Drosophila melanogaster: one gene and its partner. The protein of the gene in region 1 interacts with the protein of each later gene in a pairwise test. Each region holds a gene or a part of one and is shown on either strand. Other genes may lie near its edges.

Evidence for each region.
Region 2: the proteins of wal (region 1) and Etfb interact in a two-hybrid assay, tested with the Drosophila melanogaster proteins (2 studies listed by BioGRID).

What each region holds. Positions count from the first base shown.
Region 1 is NT_033778.4:11,687,853-11,692,669, reverse strand, and holds wal (walrus), read left to right. Parts: upstream 1-1,806; 5' UTR 1,807-1,857; intron 1,858-1,925; 5' UTR 1,926-1,950; coding exon 1,951-1,992; intron 1,993-2,083; coding exon 2,084-2,224; intron 2,225-2,781; coding exon 2,782-3,591; 3' UTR 3,592-4,101; downstream 4,102-4,817. Other genes in the region: CG13197 (uncharacterized protein), read right to left, coding at 125-171, 503-702, 1,095-1,170, 1,258-1,280; buffy, read right to left, coding at 4,113-4,280, 4,342-4,650, 4,711-4,817.
Region 2 is NT_033777.3:29,801,002-29,804,869, reverse strand, and holds Etfb (electron transfer flavoprotein beta subunit), read left to right. Parts: upstream 1-2,025; 5' UTR 2,026-2,029; coding exon 2,030-2,080; intron 2,081-2,210; coding exon 2,211-2,921; 3' UTR 2,922-3,271; downstream 3,272-3,868. Other genes in the region: ncd (non-claret disjunctional), read left to right, coding at 1-464; CG7789 (uncharacterized protein), read right to left, coding at 584-1,125, 1,190-1,568.

The DNA of each region.
Region 1 (4,817 bases):
TATTTTGCGGACCTAATTGCGTGGACAGATATGCATCTGAATCTGCATTGTCGACGGGAAAGCGTTTCCCACGGCAGCGTGCGCCCAAAGATCATGATGTGTGGGATGAATTGTCAGCACTCACCATTATCCGCGTTCCTTTCAAGGAAGTCAGTCACGAAAGCACAGAATCTGCAATGACATAGGAAAGAGATGGATCATTACATGAATTGGTAATATCTTGGATTGAATAACAAATTAGAATTTCTTTTCATTTCATTCCAAAAACAAAGCAAAATTAAAATAATGCATATTGCAAAACCACATTTATGCGAGCATTAAAACGATCCAACTAACGATATTAATAATATTATTAATATTGTAATTATTAGGAACATTGCCTACAATATAGTTCTTATAATAAGAAGATGAAGACTTATCCAAACCATGTTCCAAAATTACAACATTTTCGAACCAGAGCTAATAAATTTTCCTATTAATAGTTGCTTAAATTCATAATTACCTTTGGGCTAGCTTATGCGAGGGTGTCTGTTTTCCGGGGATCATCAGCTTCTGGTGGAGCACATCGTGGTTGGTTATGGCACTTGGGTGGTAGTATCGATTCGTGTTGGTCAAATCGATGATGAGACCCATATCGGGTACGATCTGCAGAAGGGATTCGGGCGCCAGCCGAAGATTCTCCTTCACTTTGGCGTTGACATGCTGCAAAAGATAAAAAAAAAGAAGGGAGCTGAGCAAATATACGAGGGCATTACAATGGGCGGCCATAGATTGCTCAATTTATGCAAAATGCCCGGAGGGCTGGCAATTAATAAAGGCCGTGGATCCGTGGCGTTATTTAATTAAGCAAAAACAATTTAATTTAATATTCATGTGGGGTCCATGTTCCAGTTGCCACTTTTATGCATAATTACAATGCACAAATTTCGTCGTCGTTCGTTGTTATTTATATTTTTAGAGGGCCGCTCAGTCGGTGGTCCAGATCCTGGGTTTTCAACATCCATCAATTGGCGGCTCTCCTGTCAACCGGTTTCTTGGATCTCGGATGGAGTGTGGTACGCCACTGGGCGGGCGGAGGATCATCGGGAACTCACCTGATTCAGCGGCACCTTAAAGGCTATGAAACGAGTGCCAGGAACACGATCTCCAATCGGTTTGTACTTCAGCCATCTGCAATTGGTACAAAAAGTAACATGAAAAAATGACCAGCATAAACAACACGGGTTTCTTTGGGATATTCTCCTAAACTGCACTCACCTGTCTGGTATGTCCTTGACCATTTTGTCTGTTCGCCAAACCTTTTACCGAAATTTAAAAATAAAATTTCGAAGTTCTTCAAAATTGTTGACAATGTTTTGCAAAGAAATAATTCTTATTCCAGTGTTGCCAGATTACTTTAAGAGATTACTCAACATATGCTGCTGAGTTGACACTGTTAGCTAAACTGTGACTGGTCACGATTATTTTTAAAACTCTCGCTCATTCGCTCTTTAACTGAAGTAATAACATTTATAATCTATATTTAATGTTTCTATTTAATAATAAATGTAATTTTTTTAATACTTCATTCTTCATTAAGCTCTTTTACAAATTTATGACTAGTAATATTAATCGGCTTGCATATTTTTTTAAATGGATAATAAAATTAAATTAAATAAGTCCATTAATCAATAATTCCAAGATTATATTTTATATATGTTCATTTTTTCACTTAAGTTCCTGCTGCTTAAAGTTCACATAGATCTGTTGCTCCATCTGTTAAGTAACAGCTGTTGTGTATTGGCTAGGAGGTACCAAAAAACGGCAAACGCTTAAATCAGCGGAAACCTTTGGACTTTCTGTGATTTTACAGCGAAGGTAAGAGTTTTAATTAAATATTAATGGACTTAAATTAATCAAACAACAATTTTCCCTCGCGTGGATAGCTCCAATAACCATCCAACATCCAAAATGTTCGCCAGCAACACGCGTAATCTTATGCGCAGCAGCATTGTGAGTGGAAATTTCTTAAAAAGATAAAAAAAAAGCGCAGGCGGTGATCGCTAAAAATTAAATAACAAAATATCAATTTTCCCACTTGCAGTTGCAGCGATGCAAGAGCACTTTGGTGGTGGCTGAGCACAACAATGAGGTACTCAATCCGATCACCCTGAACACCATCTCTGCGGCCAAGAAGATCGGTGGTGACGTCACAGTTCTGGTGGCAGGCACAAAATGCGGACCCGTAAGTCCCCCAAGAAGTCTCACATTAGGGTGGTTCCATTCGCAGGGATTTCGAATCATCAACGAATCTAATCAAATAGGCTGAACATGCATCCTAAGACCTTTGCGATCTGGTAGAAATCAAACCGGCACAGGATTATATAAACATATCTCATTAGAAAACAAGACTTTTGAGTTGTTGGTAATACTGCATCTAAGAGATAGGAATTGTTAACCTTGATTATATACTTCTGACTATAAGTACACTTTAAAAAGGGTCCAATCTATTTTCCACTTAACTCTTGCTACATTCCAGTTTTCCAATTTTCATACTAGATTAAAACTAACTAAAAATTTAGAAAAAAATGTTTTGATTTTGGATTGGTGAACCCTTACTTAGATACAATATATAGTAACCATATTTCAAAAATGCCGAGCAAAGTGATTTCAATAGATGACCATTTTAAAATACCAAGACATTTAAATTATAAAGCATCGAACCACCCAAGAGCGACTCCCACTGATCATAAGTATTTGGTGCGATAGATAATCTTACATAATCACTCTCTTGTTTTCCAGGCTTCCGAGGCTCTTTCCAAGGTGGATGGCGTGACCAAGGTTCTGGTGGCCGAAAATGCCGCCTTCAACGGATTTACCGCGGAGTCGCTGACCCCATTGGTCCTGGCCGCCCAGTCTCAGTTCAAGTTCACCCACATCCTGGCCGGAGCTTCGGCTTTCGGCAAAAACGTGCTGCCACGCGTGGCGGCCAAGCTGGATGTGTCGCCCATTTCGGAGATCATCGATGTTAAGTCGGACGACACCTTTGTGCGCACTATCTACGCCGGAAATGCTATCCTCACCCTGAAATCCAAGGACGCCGTTAAGGTGATCACCGTAAGGAGCACCAATTTCCCACCGGCAGCCACCAGCGGTGGAAGTGGAGCCGTGGAGCAGGCACCAGCTGGTGACTTCGCCAGCAGCCTGTCCGAATTTGTATCCCAGGAGCTGACCAAGTCCGATCGCCCCGAGCTGGCCGGAGCCAAGGTTATTGTGTCCGGAGGACGGGGCCTGAAGTCCGGAGATAACTTCAAGCTGCTGTATGATCTGGCCGATAAGTTTGGTGCCGCTGTGGGTGCCTCTCGTGCTGCCGTGGATGCTGGATTTGTGCCCAATGATCTGCAGATCGGTCAGACCGGCAAGATTGTGGCTCCCGAGCTGTACATCGCTGTCGGAATCTCAGGCGCCATCCAGCACTTGGCTGGCATGAAGGACTCCAAGACGATTGTGGCCATCAACAAGGATCCCGAAGCGCCCATCTTCCAGGTCGCCGATATTGGCATCGTGGCAGATCTTTTCAAGGCCGTGCCCGAACTAACCGGAAAGTTGTAAGGCGAGATTGTCACTTGCTGTAGTATAAAGATTGTGTACCGATGAATTGATAACTGTTGCATTTATTTGAATTTTGACATAAGTCCGTGGAAGATTTTCCCTTAAATTTTGTAATAAAACAAGCCGAAGACCTATTCTATGTGAAAATTGTAGTCTTATCAGTTGAGTGCAACTGTTTAAATCAGCAAAATATTTAAAAAAGGCCCAGGGCTAGCAATAACCAAAATTCAACTAGGATAAACTGTTTACTGGCATTGCAGATTGCACCTAGTCTAGGATTTGGTTTCCTTATCAGTTTCCCATCGTATATTTATTTTTCAAGAAGCTTTTATGAGAGCTTTATTAATTAAATTAGTTATACTAGAAAGCTGATCAAGCCAAAACAAATTGTAGCTAAAAGCATCAAAAAGCTTTCTCGCCAATTGCGAACTTTTTTAAAAAGTGTGAAAATGTGAAAACTGTGTACAAAAAAAGATTATAGATCAAATCAATAGGATTTTTACGCTTAATAAACAAAATGTTTAGGAATTCGTAAATCGTTGGTATATTTTTGGTACAATCAAGTTAAATATAAATCGCAGAATCATAAAAACTAGAATTAGGCCAAAAACTACGCCTATAACCAAAGTGGTCCACTCTAAAGGATTCAGGCTGTTGGTAGTGGGTAAAACGTGTGTGTTGATGCCACTCTAAAATGGAAAATCATTGAAATGAAACCTCGACAATTATGAAATGATCGGAGAAACTCACCCAACCACCATTCTCGTTAATCCACGGAACCAGCTCATCTTCGATCACCTCGGAAACGCTCTCCATCAACTTGGGCAAGTATTCCGGATGTCCTTGGCGTACACAATCAACGGACAGCCCACCGGCGATGGCGAACAGAGAGATCACCTTGCTCCACGTAATCTCCACCCGGAAGAGCTCGCGACCAACGGCTCCCAAAAGCAAGCTCACAGCATCCGGAGTATGGAACTCACCACCCGGATTCCGGCAAATCTGACGAGCTACTCCGTTGTATATCCGGGGATGCATGCGCTCCAGTTCATCGCCCAGCTTGGGCAAAGGTGTGTAAAATGATTAATATAATAAAATAAAGCGTTATTTTTTGCTTACCACTTGGACCGCTGGAAACACATCGCGCACAATGCCCATGGAGGTGGAGCCCAGTATGCTACGTATGCGCTGCAGTCCCAGCTTTTTGTTGAACAAACCAGATCTTC
Region 2 (3,868 bases), on another chromosome or scaffold:
ACGAGCGCTCCTCTCGTTCCCACGCGGTTACCAAGCTTGAGCTCATCGGACGCCATGCCGAAAAGCAAGAGATCTCCGTGGGTTCCATAAACCTGGTGGATTTGGCCGGCTCTGAGTCTCCCAAGACGAGCACCCGGATGACCGAGACAAAGAACATCAATCGCTCGCTATCGGAGCTCACCAACGTAATCCTGGCGCTGCTGCAGAAGCAGGACCACATCCCGTACAGGAACTCCAAGCTGACGCACCTGCTGATGCCCTCGCTGGGCGGCAACTCGAAAACGCTTATGTTCATCAACGTCTCGCCGTTCCAAGACTGTTTCCAAGAGTCCGTCAAGTCGCTGCGCTTCGCGGCCTCCGTAAACTCCTGCAAAATGACCAAGGCCAAGCGGAATCGCTACCTGAACAACTCGGTGGCCAACAGCAGCACACAGAGCAACAACAGCGGCAGTTTCGATAAATAAAGAATGCATTCTGAGCCCAGTTTTAACAATTTTCAAATTTCTAACCTGTTATTGCTTAATTTATGTGTGTTTACTTTTAGTGCAAATAAACTAATAAAGTGCTGGAATTCAAAGCTATCTCACTTGGCTCCCACTGCTGCCCGCACCTCGGCGGGAATCTTTTCCACCAGCGCGGCATGGTCCTGTCCCAGGCTGGCCAGCACTCCCTGTCGATTCACGTGCTCCACATCCGCATTGTAGGCGTAGTGCTCGCCGTTGATGTTGGTGAGGCAGCCGCCCTGGGCCTCTAGAACGGCCTCGGGTGCGCAGGTGTCCCACTTCTTGCAGCCCGGCGTGGCGAAGACGTACGCGTGGGCCTTTCCCTCCAGCAGCTGGAGCACTTTGAACCCAGCGCCTCCGACTTTCAGAACTTCTGTGGATGCGAATGCGTTGAGGGCTTGCTGATGCAGGGCATTGGAATGCGAGCGAGTGGTGGTTATGATGAACTGGCCGGCTGGCGCGGGGACTGCCGTGAATCCTCCCGTGCCCAGACCCTTCAGGCCCCAAATGGTGCGACCCATTTCGCCATCGGGCTGTTGGTAGAATGGCTGATGAATGATGCCGCCCACAGCAGCATCCTTCACGGCTATGCCGATCAGGACGGTCACGTGTTCAACGTGTCCTGCGGATGAAAGGAGAACATTTAGTTTTATATAAGGAGCTCTACAGGTATCTCCAGATCGCACCCTGTGTATACTCCGCTGTGCCGTCTAGGGGATCTACCCATATGACAAAGTCCTCGGGCTTGACATCCTTCCACTCAGCGGGGCAACTGTGCTGCAGGAATTCCTCATCCAACTCGTTCACCAGCCAGTCGTCGCAGACATTCAGATCGGATCCACCCTCCTCGCCAATGATCTTGACGGTGGGGAACTTTTTGGCCAAGGAGGCGATAATGCAACGCTGGGCAGAGCGATCTGCCTCCGTCTGCGGATCGTTCTTGCCCTTGTCCACTATGCCCAGGTCACCCTTCTTGAGCACGTCGCGTATGATGCCGCCAGCCCGCTTGGCGGTGCTGATCGAGGACGCCATGACGCGCATAATTACCGGAGCAGTTGCAGCCATCGTTATTTTATTTGTATGGGACAAGGATGCGGGAGATCTTTTCAAGATTGGAATGAGATGTTTTCGTCGCTGCAGAGAAGTGATTGCGGTGAAAGTAGAACAGCTGTTGGCGGCTAGAGAGGAGCGAAAAGCACAAAGTTTAGCTACTCCCCCGTAAATAGTTGAATTCGTAATTCATCAACTCCACAGTTTCAGAAATTATGTTTCCTAGTTTTGCTTAAAGTTGTTAGTCCTTTAAGATACATGAATTTAAAAATGTATTTCAGCGGGAATATTTGGACATTTTATAGCTGCAAATAATCGGCTGCTCTGTCTGGCAACGCTGTAGCCGGAGAAGACCTTTGGACCACCCGCGCCCCCGCCGCCAACAAATCAGTTCATTTCCATCTTGAAGAGGTAAGTTCTTGAAACTCAGTAAATTTCCGTAAATTTCATCAATTTTATAACTAATTTGGCAGAAAATGGCGCGTGTTTTGGTTGGAGTTAAGCGTGTGATCGACTACGCCGTCAAGGTGAGCCTGAAAAGTCGCCTGTTGCGCATCTTGTCCCATTGTCTTTTTATCACTTGTTGCGCTCTGTTTTGCGTAATCGCCTTAATTAAGCGGCAATTAAACTAATTCAGGTTACATTTATCATGTCCAGGTGCGCGTCAAGCCCGACAAGACTGGCGTGGTCACCCAGGGCGTGAAGCACTCGATGAATCCCTTCGACGAGATCGCCGTGGAGGAGGCGGTGAAGCTGAAGGAGAAAAAGCTGGCCGAGGAGGTGATCGCCGTCTCCGTGGGCCCGGCCCAGTCGCAGGAGGTGATCCGCACCGCCCTGGCCATGGGCGCCGATCGCGGCGTCCACGTAGAGATCCCGGCCGCCGAGTACGAGCTTCTGCAGCCCATCCACGTGTCGAAGATTCTGGCCAAGTTGGCTCTTGACGAAAAAGCCGACCTGGTCATCCTTGGCAAGCAGGCCATCGACGATGATGCCAACCAAACGGCCCAGATGACCGCCGCCGTGCTCGACTGGCCGCAGGGCACCTTCTGCAACAAGATCGAGAAGACAGACGCCGGTCTGACCATCACGCGTGAAATTGATGGTGGCCTGGAGACAATCAAGACCAAGACCCCGGCTGTGCTGAGCGCCGATCTCCGGCTGAACACCCCTCGCTACGCCACGTTGCCGAACATCATGAAGGCCAAGAAGAAGCCGCTGAAGAAGGTTACGGCCAAGGATCTCGGCGTGGACACCTCGCCCCGCATCGAGGTCATCTCCGTGGAGGATCCTCCTGTGCGCCAGGCCGGCGCCACCGTCGCCGACGTGGATGCCCTGGTGGCCAAGCTAAAGGAGGGCGGCCACATCTAGATGTTCCTCAACTAGAAAATTGTGAGCGCATATTCTACGTTTTTAATTAGTCGAAAGTTATCAGAAACGTGCATTTATCTAGCCGGAGAGTCGGATTTGCTGACAGGCTTTAAATTTCTCTGAATTCAACCCATACCCGTGTGCTTTAAGTGAACTATAAATTGGAATTTATTCTCGTTGTGTCCAGCTCTAAGAATAAAGTGATTGTAAGCTCTGAAATCGTACGATCAGGGTCAGCCAATGGCTGGACTCGTCTATTTTTCCGTCTCCGCGTGCTACCTTTTCGGGAAATGCCGCTCAACTTGGCGCCCAAAAGAGGCGACAGGGTCAACAGCAAACAGCCAATGGTCATTGATTTCTCATTGTTTTCAATCGGATTTATTAGCGGTTAACTTGAAAGGAGAACATTTGCTAATGTGCATTATATAAGAGTACAAATGGCATAGAAATAGTATATATTGTTCATAAAACACTCGACTACAGGCTAAAATCGTTTGTTTTCGTTTTGGACGACCATGACACACAGGCTTATACTATAAAGATATCTATGTGTATAAAATTGTAAAAAGGTCTTGTCTGTAAATGGTCTAAGGTAGATATAGATAAGGGTGGGCCGACATTCCTGATCGAGAATCAAAGAGGCGCAAGTTGTTCTATGATAAGGTTTAGTAGAGAATTTAAAATTTTGAGATCGTCTTTGTTCAGTTGGCAAGTTAAAATTGTCAAAAAATTTTGGCCGGAGTAAAAACCTCTTAGATTTCTAAGTTAAATCGATCTACTCTACCCACCCCAAAAAATATAAATACAGACGAGTAAATGCGACATTAATAAATGTCAATCGAAAGATACTTTGTGCCTAAATAAAATAAAACGGGCAGTGGCACCAATCTCGTCGAGCAATTGGGCAGGTTAAAAAAGTGTTGTATAAAAAATATGCTGCAAGGCCG